2 linked regions of the Oryzias latipes genome follow. The protein of the gene in region 2 interacts with the protein of the main gene of each other region in a pairwise test. Links are inferred from orthologs where the notes say so. Each region holds a gene or a part of one and is shown on either strand. Other genes may lie near its edges.

Region 1 (5,787 bases), on a different chromosome or scaffold from region 2:
AGCTTTCCCGGCTGCCACACCGCTCACAAACACACCTGGTAACTGAGTGCATGGGACTGTCAAAGCAGAATATGACAGACTTGACACATAAACCTTTACAGAGGTCTGACCTCAGCCCTGGTTTCTATTACAGATGACTCCAGGTTTGTGCTCTTTTTACTGTTAGATATGATCACAAACATAAACATTTTACATGCTCACTCTTACTACAAGAAGTGTACTCAAATTTGAGAAAAATCAAACAAAACATTAAAATAGAAATCCTTGATTTCTGGTTCCATTTCCATAATTATGCTCCTTTTCTCCCCGCCATTTCCATATCTCTGATTGGACTTGGGCTCTTTTTGTTCTCCCCCTCTCTTGGCATCTCCTCTGGCACCAGATGCAGCTTGGTTAACTGACCCAGACTTGAACAGGCTGTGCAGACACAGCTGAGGCCCCTGGTGCCACAGATGCTGAAAGTGTTGCATTCGCAAGGCTGCTAAGCATTTTTAATGCTTACGAAGCACAGGGCTCGTTTTGGCTTCTATGTGCATCATCTAGTGCCCGGAAAGTGTCTTCTGTCCAGACCACACCGATATAAAGGCTTGCTAACATGTTGTCTATGGTCCCGGTTGGCAGGTGGTGCTGAGGCAGTAACCGTGGCAACCCTTCTCCACACTTAAACCCAGTTTAACAACCCATCCATCCTTTCTGTCTCTACAGCTCTGCACCACAAGTCCACTTTTGCTCTGATTGAATGTCATCAAAGCTACTGAGAAGCATCATTACAGTAGTTATCATTAAGGAGCCAATTAGTGCACAAAAGATGCATTCTTTGGCTACATGAGTGATATGATGTGGAATTTATATTTGTCTTTTTAATTGGTTAAATTTAATATTTGTCTCTTTGCATATTTTGCTTATGATAGTTGATTAAAATAATGTATAAATTAACTGATTCCATTTTTATTTACCCGATTTTATGTCATTTTTACAATGTCTGTTCACTTGATGTACAAAAACGTTTTTCTCAAACTTATTTAACAAATCAGCTGGTTGTTTTTTAAAGACTTTTTAATTCAAATAAAATTTAGACCAAATCAAAATTAATTTAATAGGAATAAAAGGTAAGTGTTTGTTCTGAGTTTCTGCTATGGCAAGAAATATTGACATTAGTGCCGTGAGAGAAAGGAGGGAGCAGAAAAAAGGAAAGAGAGGAGACAGAGTGCTCACCTGGAACATCACCCTGTATTGTTCCTCGGGTTTCTGAACCACACACATGTTGCACCCCATGGTAACTCCTGACGGGGTGCAGGACTGTGCAGGTCCAACCGCTAATGACCAGTTCTCAAGTAAGGATTCTTTGTCTGTGGCGGCGTGGGAGCCCCACCCTCATTCGCAGGCGTTGTGGTGTTCAAAGCGGGTCCTCTTTGAGGTATCATGCATCACATCCCGGGCAAATATGAGCCGGCTGCATCTCTGTTCCTTTGTCTGGTGTTGTGCTCACAAATGAAATGTTGCTAAACCTGCAATAAACTCACATTTGAAGTGTGATTTCTAAGAAAATCTCAGGAAAGGCCTAAAACAGAATGTCCTGCTACTTTGTGCTTTATTGATACATCAAAGCATCTGCTTCAGACAGCTCCATGCTTATCCGATTGACACGGAGAGGAGTTGCAAAGCTCATAAAGCTGCAGGATGCTTCACATTTAAAGACTGGAAAAGACTCCTGAACTCACATCTGTTTCTTCAGGACTTCCCTTTCTGTCAGCTTCTCTCTCAGCCCTTTTCTGTACGTTTGCCAAAGTGACACTAAGAAATTACTGAAAGCCCCGTCAGCACCCTCTCCTGCCTCATCTGTCATCTACCCCACATTCAATGCGTGTTCCAAGCTGTTTGTGATTGTAGCTGCAGCAAAACTTACTGTGTGCAGAGGACCGGTTCTACAGGGGCATGACACCGCCAGCCAAAACCGCTCAGACCTCTGCAGCTGAGATAACACCGCCAGAGGTGTCTCAGCAGGGGGCAACACAACTACAAGCTTTACATCACAAACACTCTCACTTGCAGCTCTGCAGAACTGCAGTAAGAGTAAAATTTCACAAAATTACAGAAAATTGAAATGCTACACAAAAAAACTGGAAGGAAGTTCATTCAGCAACTTCCTGTTGTCAGATACGATCACATGTTCAGACTATTGATCCGCAGACACAGCAAACTCACCGCTGGACTTCTCTGAGGGGAAACATGGTGGATTATGACCAAACTGATGACCCCAAGCTCTGATAAGACAGCACACTATTCAATTATAAACTTATAGATAAGTTGTGCCACATAGAGGATTCTTGTCCTTAAAAACATTTTCCCTTTCCTCAAAACTTTCAACGCCACGGTGAAGCTCTCCTCACAGCCTGAGTCTATTCATATAGAACCCAGTTTATTCCAAGCTAAATCTGTCACAGTTAACATGAACTGGAGGGAAACTGAGTCACCTGCTCGCCTTCTGTGTCTCATCTTGTCAGTTGAACCTTAATCTTTAATCCTCCAGAGCGCGGTCGGATAGCTTGAGAGTTTTTGGTCCATCGACAAGGTTTTGAAGCTAATCCTCATTCAAGGCTTCACTACACCTGCGTCCTGTCTGGAGGCTGCTAAGCCACCTACACAAACGCGCACACGCATTAAGACTGCATCCACCTAATGTGGAGAATGATAACTTGAGGAGAAAACAAGCTGCCTTGGAGATCATGCAGCCAATCATGCTGCAGTGAGGTGTCAGACCGGTCTCAGCAGGCAGGTGTGCTCCAACTGTCATCCCTTCTCTCCTTCTATGTTCACCCCTATCGCCTGTCAGCTCTACACATGCTTGCTGCAGTGTGAGCATTCGATGGTCCCCCCCATGCCTCAGCTGGTGGGGTATGTAGCTGTCCGGATGCGTTGAAAACACACGCGTAAAAGTTAGTCCATCTTCGGCTGGAGGCAGAAAAATAGAAAAGTGTGAGGAATGAGCATGTCCCGTTTTATTCCTCCCTTTGTCTCTCTTTCATGCTATGAACAAATATCCACAAAAGGGTGTTTCCATGTGAGGGAAGCAATGTAGACCATTGTGAGTATTCCAGGTGGCTGGACTGATGAGCAGCGCTTGTCTCAGGTCAGTGATGAATCCTCACCAGGAGCGGAGGCTGATTGGAGGATACTTCTTGCCTTCTCCCCTTGGGTATGACGGCAAAGTGCTCCCCCCTCTGCAGTGGAGGTGGTGGTGGTGGGGGGGGTGAGTGCACAAAAGGCAGTTGCATTGGAGCTCAGCAAATCTGCCCGCTGCACTACAACTAAATCTCACGCAGAAGGATTTCTCTCTTGCTGTGTTGTCTTTTTCCCTCCACCCTTTTTTTCTTTTCCTCATTCAGGGTTGGGCTACTGCATCCTCTCTAGTCCCCCCATCATTTTTACCCTCCCTCCTCTCTTTTGCCTCTCTCTGCTTGTCTGCAGGCAAGGGAGCAGGCACTAGAGAGGTCTGTGCATGCAGGACAAGGCGACATAACAAGCAGAGCTTCATAAAAGTGAATGAAATATCAAGGCTCTTTTTTCTGAGACAGCCTCATCCATCTTGTGTCATTTAAGTAATTCACTTTGTGCTTGTGATTTTTTATGAGATCCTTTGAGGACAAAAAAAAAGGATGATTGCAAATTTTCATAGCAAGAGGGGAAAAAAAACTGCCCACAGCAGGTAGAGCTCATGACTGGCTGTGCATTTAGATGAGGAGCTGCGCTAAAACAAGTATGATCGGGAAAGGAGCAGCAGGAGAAGAGGAGAAACAAGTGAATAACAGGTGTGACTAGATAGATGGAAAGATGCAGAAGAGAGCCAAGAGAAAAAATGCAAATGACTGTGTGGGAGAGCAGAGGAGGAGTGAGGATGGGGAGAAGAAAAAGACTTTTCTGCAGTAATCAAAATGACCCGCTGAGGTATAGAGGGTGCAAATCTGCCATATGGGGAGTATTCATTTTACATTTCTACCCAGACTGGCAGGTAATTGTTGGTAGAATCTTCTCTGCAGACACACTCAGAACATTAATTTTCCATTTAAACTTCCATTTCACTGGCACTCTCTCTGTGGTGCTGTTGCCAAACAGGGGGTGAAGTCTGAGGAGCATTTCGTCAGCATTCCTCTCCGTGCCGTATCAGTTTTCTGAAATAAAAATCAGTCGAGAATTTTGTGTCTTGGTTACGCATCTCAAGTGTTTGTCTCCCTCACACACACAAATCTTCCCTTGATGGCTTCTGCGAGCCACGGATGAAGCAGGATTTCACGGTGGCTATGTGAGGATCAACAAGGTTGCACGTCTTTCACCACCTCTCCCCATGTCGCCTCTGATACTGAATGCAGCTCACACAAGCAGGCCTCTAGGTTTTCTCAGTCCAACGCCTTTAGAGCACAAAAGGTCAGCCTGTCATCCTATTATAGTTGGGGCAGAGATGAGAAAAAAGCAGGGACTGTGGATATTGGACTCTCCTGTCCAACATTGGGATCTGTTTTTATCTTAAGACTCCCTCCAATCATACTTTGACTGTGCTGTTTTTAGCCAAAGTAAAAAAAAAAAACTAGTTTTCTAGAACGTAGTTTCTGCAGAGCAGCAGTAGTTCATTACCATTTGCCTGTGAGTTGTGGGCAGGACTGTTACCACAGAGAAAGCCTGTCCCCATTCCCCATTTCCCGTCATCTATCTGTTTGACACACTTTTCTGCTAGCTTACAGCCCCTCACAACTTTAACCCAACATTACCAGTGCATAAGATTGGAGCAAAGCAGGGAGCTTGTGGCTTGCTGTAATACGTAACACGTCACACCTACAAGCTTTTTCCAATTTTTCCATTTTCTCCTGATTCACAGCAGTTTAAATAAAGAAATACTCAGAAATGCTATTTTCATCTTAATTTTCTTTATATGTATCCTCTGTCATCAGAAAAATGCCACAAGAACGTGTTAAAAACCAAAAAAAAAACCTTTTCATCAGAGTGGATCTTTAAATGCCAGCGCAAGTCATTATGCATTTGTCTCTTTATGGATCTCCACCTGAGCAAAAAGGAGTGTGACCTGCAGGTCGGTGCTCTTTCATTTCCCGACTGAGCTCCACCTTTTTCCTAACATCGCTGTAGCTCTCCACCTTTCAACCCATCACGAGAAAAGATCACACACACACACACACACAAAATAAGAAAAAAAACTCCTTCTGCATCACTAAAATGCAAAACAGGACTTTTTCCAGCCAAAATGTAAATGAAAAATATTATGCATTCATGAGTAAATGGAAGGTGGCAAAGGGAGCCGTTGAGATTTGGCAGTGAAGTTTTTCAAGGGGCCTAAAATGGAAAAGGAGATTGGGGGTGGCTGGGAATAGTTTAAAGCAGGGAGAATAGAAAAATGTTAAAAACAAAAGGAAAAAAAGTGTTTGTTTCATTCCACCGAGACCTTCTCCGACTGTGGAGGAAAACAGGAGCCCAATGCCAGCAGAGCAACGCAATACTGGCAGAATTTAAACAGCGCGCTCATCATTTATTTACTGCTGTGGGGAGATTGTTAGTACATAATACACTGTGAGCAGAAGCAACTTGGAGTTTGCATGTGAGCTCCTGTGTGCATGCGAGGAGGCACCCTCACTTTATTACAGGCCCTGACTGTCAAAGAAAAGGCTGTGATTGACGGGTCGTTACAGATGACCTTTTGGGGGATCCTCATTCACATTCTGGCGGTGTCACAGTGCTTGAAAGCCATCTCAAAGAGGAAATGATGAAATGATGCCACAGAGC
Region 2 (5,660 bases):
GCGTCACGGGGCTGCTGGAGCCTATCCCTGCCACTTGCGGGTGAAGGCAGGAAGCATCCTCTGGGTCACATTCTCACACATGTACACACTCACATCCACACCTATGGACAATTACGAGTGACCAATTAACCTATGAAGCATGATTTTTGGACGGTGGGAGGAAGCCGAAGAAAACCCACGCATCCACGGGGAGAACATGCAAACTCCACACAGAAAGGTCCCCCAGCTGGGACTTGAACCAGGGCTGTGAGACATGAGCGCCAACCACTGCACCACCGTGGCAGAAGTACAGAAGTAAAACTGTTTCCTCAAGTTACATTAATGCACTCTGTGGTTTTCCTCATTTAAAAAAATGCATCATTTGTGTCATTTGAACTGCAATAACAAACTGCATTTTTACAGCTCATTAGGTATCGTGTAAAATTGACTATATAGCTTCCCTTAGCAAAAAGTAGTCGATTTAAGTAAACTACAATTAGGGCCGGACGATATAAGGAAAACTCGCAATTTGTGATATTAGTGATCAATACTGTGATCACGATATAACCTGCGATACATGCACAAATAGCAAAAAAAACAAAAACATCATTTCTATTTCACTTTAAATAAGAGTCAACATAACCAGTCAACAACACCTCAGTGGTCCTTGATGGAGTTGTGTGCTGGGCGGGGGGCAGTGCAGGCAGAGACATGAAGAGGCTTAACAAAGTGGTTAGGAAGGCCGGCTCTGTCCTGGGTTGCACACTAGAGTCCACGGAGGAGGTGGCGGACAGGAGAATGTTGGCTAAGCTGACATCCATCATGGATAACCCCTCCCACCCCCTGCACCAAACTGTAGAGGCGCTTCAGCACAAGACTGTTGCACCCACAGTGCAAGAAGGAGCGCTACCGCAGGTCATGCCTCCCCACAGCCATCAGACTGTACAACACCGTGTCAAAGTGACACTCCACGAACCCAGGGGTGTTTTTTCTTTCTTTTACTCATTTATTCATTTACTTTTGTTACAGTTGTTGCAGTTTTCAATAGTTTTTGTTCCTGAACGGTTGTTTGTTTTGGTGTGTACTTTATTACTTACTTATTTTTGTATTTAAAAAGAAAAAGAAAAGAAAAAGAAAAAAAGTTTTACGTGTTTTTGACAGTTGATCACATGTTTGCAGTGGATCACATGTTTTTTACACTTTCGCAGCTGCCACAGATAAATGAATTTCCCCATTGTGGGATTAATAAAGTCATCTAATAACTTAAATTACACTCCAAATGATCCTAGTCTACATAAGAGGTGCGGCAAGGAGGCGGGTCATCCGATTGGTCAACAACATGAAGGCCCAAGGTGCTTTACAGTCACAGTCCCATTCACACACTGATGGACAATGGCGGCAACCTTTCACCAGTGGCAATGTGGGGTTCCGTGTCTTGCACAAAGACACATCAAGGTAAGAATCGAACCCGCAATCTTCAGATCTTCTTCGACTGCCCTACCGCTGCACCAAAGTATCCCCCTTGCAGCCTAAATACTTCAAGTTGCCAAAAAATGTTCAAATGTGGTCTTAAAAGTATTTAGTTAGTATGCTTCCTATACTTCATGGACAAGGTTATAGTAGACTTGCTTTACTCAAAGATACGGCAAGTGTACTACTTTTTGCTAAGGGTTATGAAGACCAAATCTGTCAGAAAAAAACAAACAAAAAACTAAACATTATTAAAAGGTCTGATGTTCACAAATAATTTTATAACCACTTTGTTACCACTTTCATATGGGTTGGTTAATCTGAGGTGACAAATTCTCAAACAATTAGCATGAACTGCTACAGTCTCTGTAAATGACTGTTATTTTTTTGATCTATTTTCAGACTTTATGACTTATGTTTTAAAATCTTCATACAGTTTCAGTGATTTGTGTTTTTCTTTTATGCTACGATCACACCGGCCTTAGCAACGCGCGTTGAAGCAACCATTTCAAATAAAAAGTCTATGTACGGTACATATGCATGTTTCGGGCTTCCGCGTTCAAAACTCTCACGTTAACGCATCGCCATGCAAGATTTTAAGTCTGTTTTCGGGCTCTTTAAATAAAGCGTGCAGCCATTGAACACGCGTTAAATGTTTGACCAATCAGAGTGTCGGATTTGGGAGCCACATATGGGTAGCGTCCTTTTTTCACTCACTGAAATGCCAACCCTTTGAAAATTGATCATGGAGGATAAATGAATAGTTGAGGTCTGTGCTTAGACGGCATTATACAACACCAAATCTGTCATAATATGTCAGAATAGAGCTGTGAAAGAAAAAGCCTGGAGCAAGAGTTGAGACCATCGACTGTAAAAACAACAGACGAATCGAGGTATGATGTCACCCATAGCTCTCCTCCCTTCCTGATACGTTTCAACGTGGCGGCGCCCGCATCAGGAAGCAATGGTACTTCCTATTTGGGAACACGAGAAGGGAGGTGTCCATTGTTTTTACAGTCAATGGTTGTGACATTTGCACTACTTTGACATTTCGCACCAAGCCTCGTCCAACTGTAGATGCATGCGATAGTATCGGGTAGTGACAGTTGAGTGTAAAAGCGTTCAAGAACCCCTCGTTCAGCATGTTCTTAAATGTACGACACATGCCCGCTGTGAACGCATGAATCCAAGGACGAGCTTAACCCTGTCAGTCTGAAGCAATGTGCAGAAACCAAAATCTCATCCACCTGGTTGGGGAGTGCACACAGAGTGCTGATTGTATTCTGAAGATTTTCCATTTAAACAGATTTAACCAAACATTCACCAAAGTTTCTACATGATGTCATACTTGCCTCTTTCTCTGAAGCTGCTTGTCCTGCATCTTGGCAGCCGTTGCTAGGGTCACACAGAGCTGACATCTCCTGCCATGAAACAGACCAGTTTTGACAATTGATTATTTCCTAACTGACACCTGGATGGGGGTGGCACTAACATGACTGTTTCATGTCCACTAAATGAGAGCGCTTGTATAAAAGGGGAATTCCCTACATTTTCCAATCATCGCAAAAGTAAGACAACTGTTTTTGAGCTAAACTTCTCAAGAACTGTTGACGGTTAAAGGAGTTTTCCTCCGAATGTGGGAAATTAGGAATCCCCATCAAAATACTCCCCAAATTTAAGTATGCAGTGAGTTCAAAAGTGTCAATAAGTTGAAATGTTAAGAGAAATATTCCAGTTTTTTTAAATGACACTATACTTACTATACATATTATTAGTTATTTAAACAAACTCAGTTTAAATAACAGATTTTTACGGCCATTATAACAGCACAGATGGACTTACTGACTTTATTTTTTAAATATTCCTTTCCACCAAGATTAGCTCCTTTAGGACTTCTGTCTTAAAACTTTAGCAGGTAAAGTCCAGTCAGTGTTTAGTTTTGTCTGCAAAAAGTAAAAGCCCCTGGAGTCAAATTCACCCTTTCTCCACTAATAAAAAGAAAAAGGTTAAGAAGATAAGGGCTCAGTCAGAATTCAACAGTAGTGTTTCTTTTCCCCCCAGAATTCACATTTCAGTGCTTTAGTTTTATGTCCTACCCATCCATGTGGTAAATAAAAAAAGGGTTTTCAATTACGACATGATTATATAAGAAAGGACTGAGTCATTTTGAAATTTTAAACAAAACTTGAAGGAAATAAAACGCAAAACAGCTGCCAAGTAAGTACGTTACGTGTTATTTAAATTTAATGCCTGTGTGTCGTCTGTTACAAAACAACGACGTCATTTGTTACTGTTTTCTTCAGTTTGCTGGCCATAAAAACATGTGGCTGCTTACCTCAGATATTTCGCAGAATTTTCCCTGGGTTACACACAAAAGTAAACACAGCTCGTTCTGAAGATTGCGTTACGTCACTAATGAGCGACACCGACAAGTAGCAGCACCACCGGAAGTGGAAGTGAAAGACAGAGGTTTTTTTTAAAAAATTATAAACTTTATTGACAATTGAGGTATCATACATAACATAACGAACAGTAACTATATAATCAACATTACCTAGAATAGCAATCACCATTGCCAAACATAACATATAAACATAAAAAGTAGAAAAAACGAATGAACATAACACACACAAATAATTAAAATAAATAAGTAAAATAAAAAATAAAATAACATAAATCCATCCAAAAGGTTTGATATTGGTCAGGGGTACTCATTAAGTTTGTATTTTTGAACAAAACTAGGCAATTTCAAGCCATTCTTCTTTTTCATATAGTGAAGTGATTGAAAACAAAAATAGAGCTCTTTATGAAATGTAATAAAAAGTGGTTTGGTCATCAAATATTTATTCTTGTGAATATAAAACTTTCCTTGAATTATCAGGACATTAAGGACCATATTTTCTGGTCTATTAGGTGAAACCACCCCGAATAAAACATTTTTTGCCTCTAAATGAACTGTCATTGCAATTTTGGAAGAATACCAAAAGCAGAACTCTTCCCAGAATGTTTTTATGACTCCACAATTAAGAATAAATGATCCACCGTCTCAATGTCCTTTAAACAAAAACTGCAGTCATTCTCCTCAAATCCAAAACGAAGTCTCAAAAATTCCTTGGATGGGTAAACATCACTAATTATTTTAAAATGAATGTCTCTTGGTAAAATACAAAATTTAAAGATATTCAACCTTAATTCAATGACCTCTTCTTTAGAGAAGTGTTTAGATTTTTTTTTTTTCTGATGAGATGTTTGGAAGAGTTCTTTCACAAACAATTTTCGTATGAAGCTGTTTGGTAGTTCTGTCTTTGTAACCGTCTGTCCGTCCAATAGGAGTGAAGGAAGTTTTAATGGAACTTTGTTTAACAATAGATTTTGTGATAATTGGATCAACGACCGAGGAAGAGCTTTAATCACAGCATCATATTGTTTCCTATCAAATAATTGAAATTCAGAACTAAAATTTTCAAATGTCAAAATATTTCCAGAATGATCCAGTAGATGCAGAACAGAACATATCCCTTTAGTCAGCCAGTTTTTGTAAAACAAGGATTTGTTTCTTCGTAACACATAACGGCAGTTCCAGAAAGGCGTGGTGTGCGGACTAAAGTTATGCTTATAAATTAGTTTCCTGTACAATAAAATTTGTTGATGAAAGGCAGAAAGTTTGATTGGCAGTTTTTTTTAGATCATAGTTGCATTTAAGCAGAAAGTTAATTCCACCTAGATCCCTTAATATTTTAGAGGGGAATTGAAACCAGAAACCTTTTTCGTTCTTTAAGAAAGATCTCAGCCAGTGGATTTTAATCGTTCCGTCTAAACATTCAACATCAATAGCTTTAAGTCCTCCCTCTTCATAATCCTTTAACATCACACTTTTCTAATATAATGAGTTTTGTATTTCCAAATGAACTTAAAATTAATTTGATTTATGTCGTTAATTGCAGATTTAGGGAAGGATTAAGAATATGCTGGGTAGATTAATCTTGATAGAGATTCCATCTTTACTAGAAAAACTCTACCAAGAATGGAAATATCTCGATGGGACCACAGATTTAGATTTAATTTACATTTATCTAAAGTTTTCCAAAAGTTAAGATCCTCCAATGATTTGGAGTCTTTGGTTAGGTGAATTCCCATATAACTTGGGATTTAACAGGAATGTTTTGAATTGTTGTTAAAGTGGAATATTTAATTGGCAATAATTCACATTT

What was found.
Region 1: the proteins of apip (region 2) and pdzd4 interact in a two-hybrid assay, tested with the Homo sapiens proteins (2 studies listed by BioGRID and IntAct). The two-hybrid records come from large-scale screens. The link is inferred for Oryzias latipes from reciprocal best matches to the Homo sapiens genes APIP and PDZD4.

The regions. Positions count from the first base shown.
Region 1 is NC_019865.2:21,182,286-21,188,072, reverse strand, and holds the start of pdzd4 (PDZ domain-containing protein 4), read right to left. Parts: upstream 3,397-5,787; 5' UTR 1,276-3,396; coding exon 1,216-1,275; intron 1-1,215.
Region 2 is NC_019861.2:8,212,410-8,218,069, reverse strand, and holds the start of apip (methylthioribulose-1-phosphate dehydratase), read right to left. Parts: upstream 3,911-5,660; 5' UTR 3,785-3,910; intron 2,871-3,784; 5' UTR 2,868-2,870; coding exon 2,802-2,867; intron 1-2,801. UniProt on the Homo sapiens protein: Catalyzes the dehydration of methylthioribulose-1-phosphate (MTRu-1-P) into 2,3-diketo-5-methylthiopentyl-1-phosphate (DK-MTP-1-P).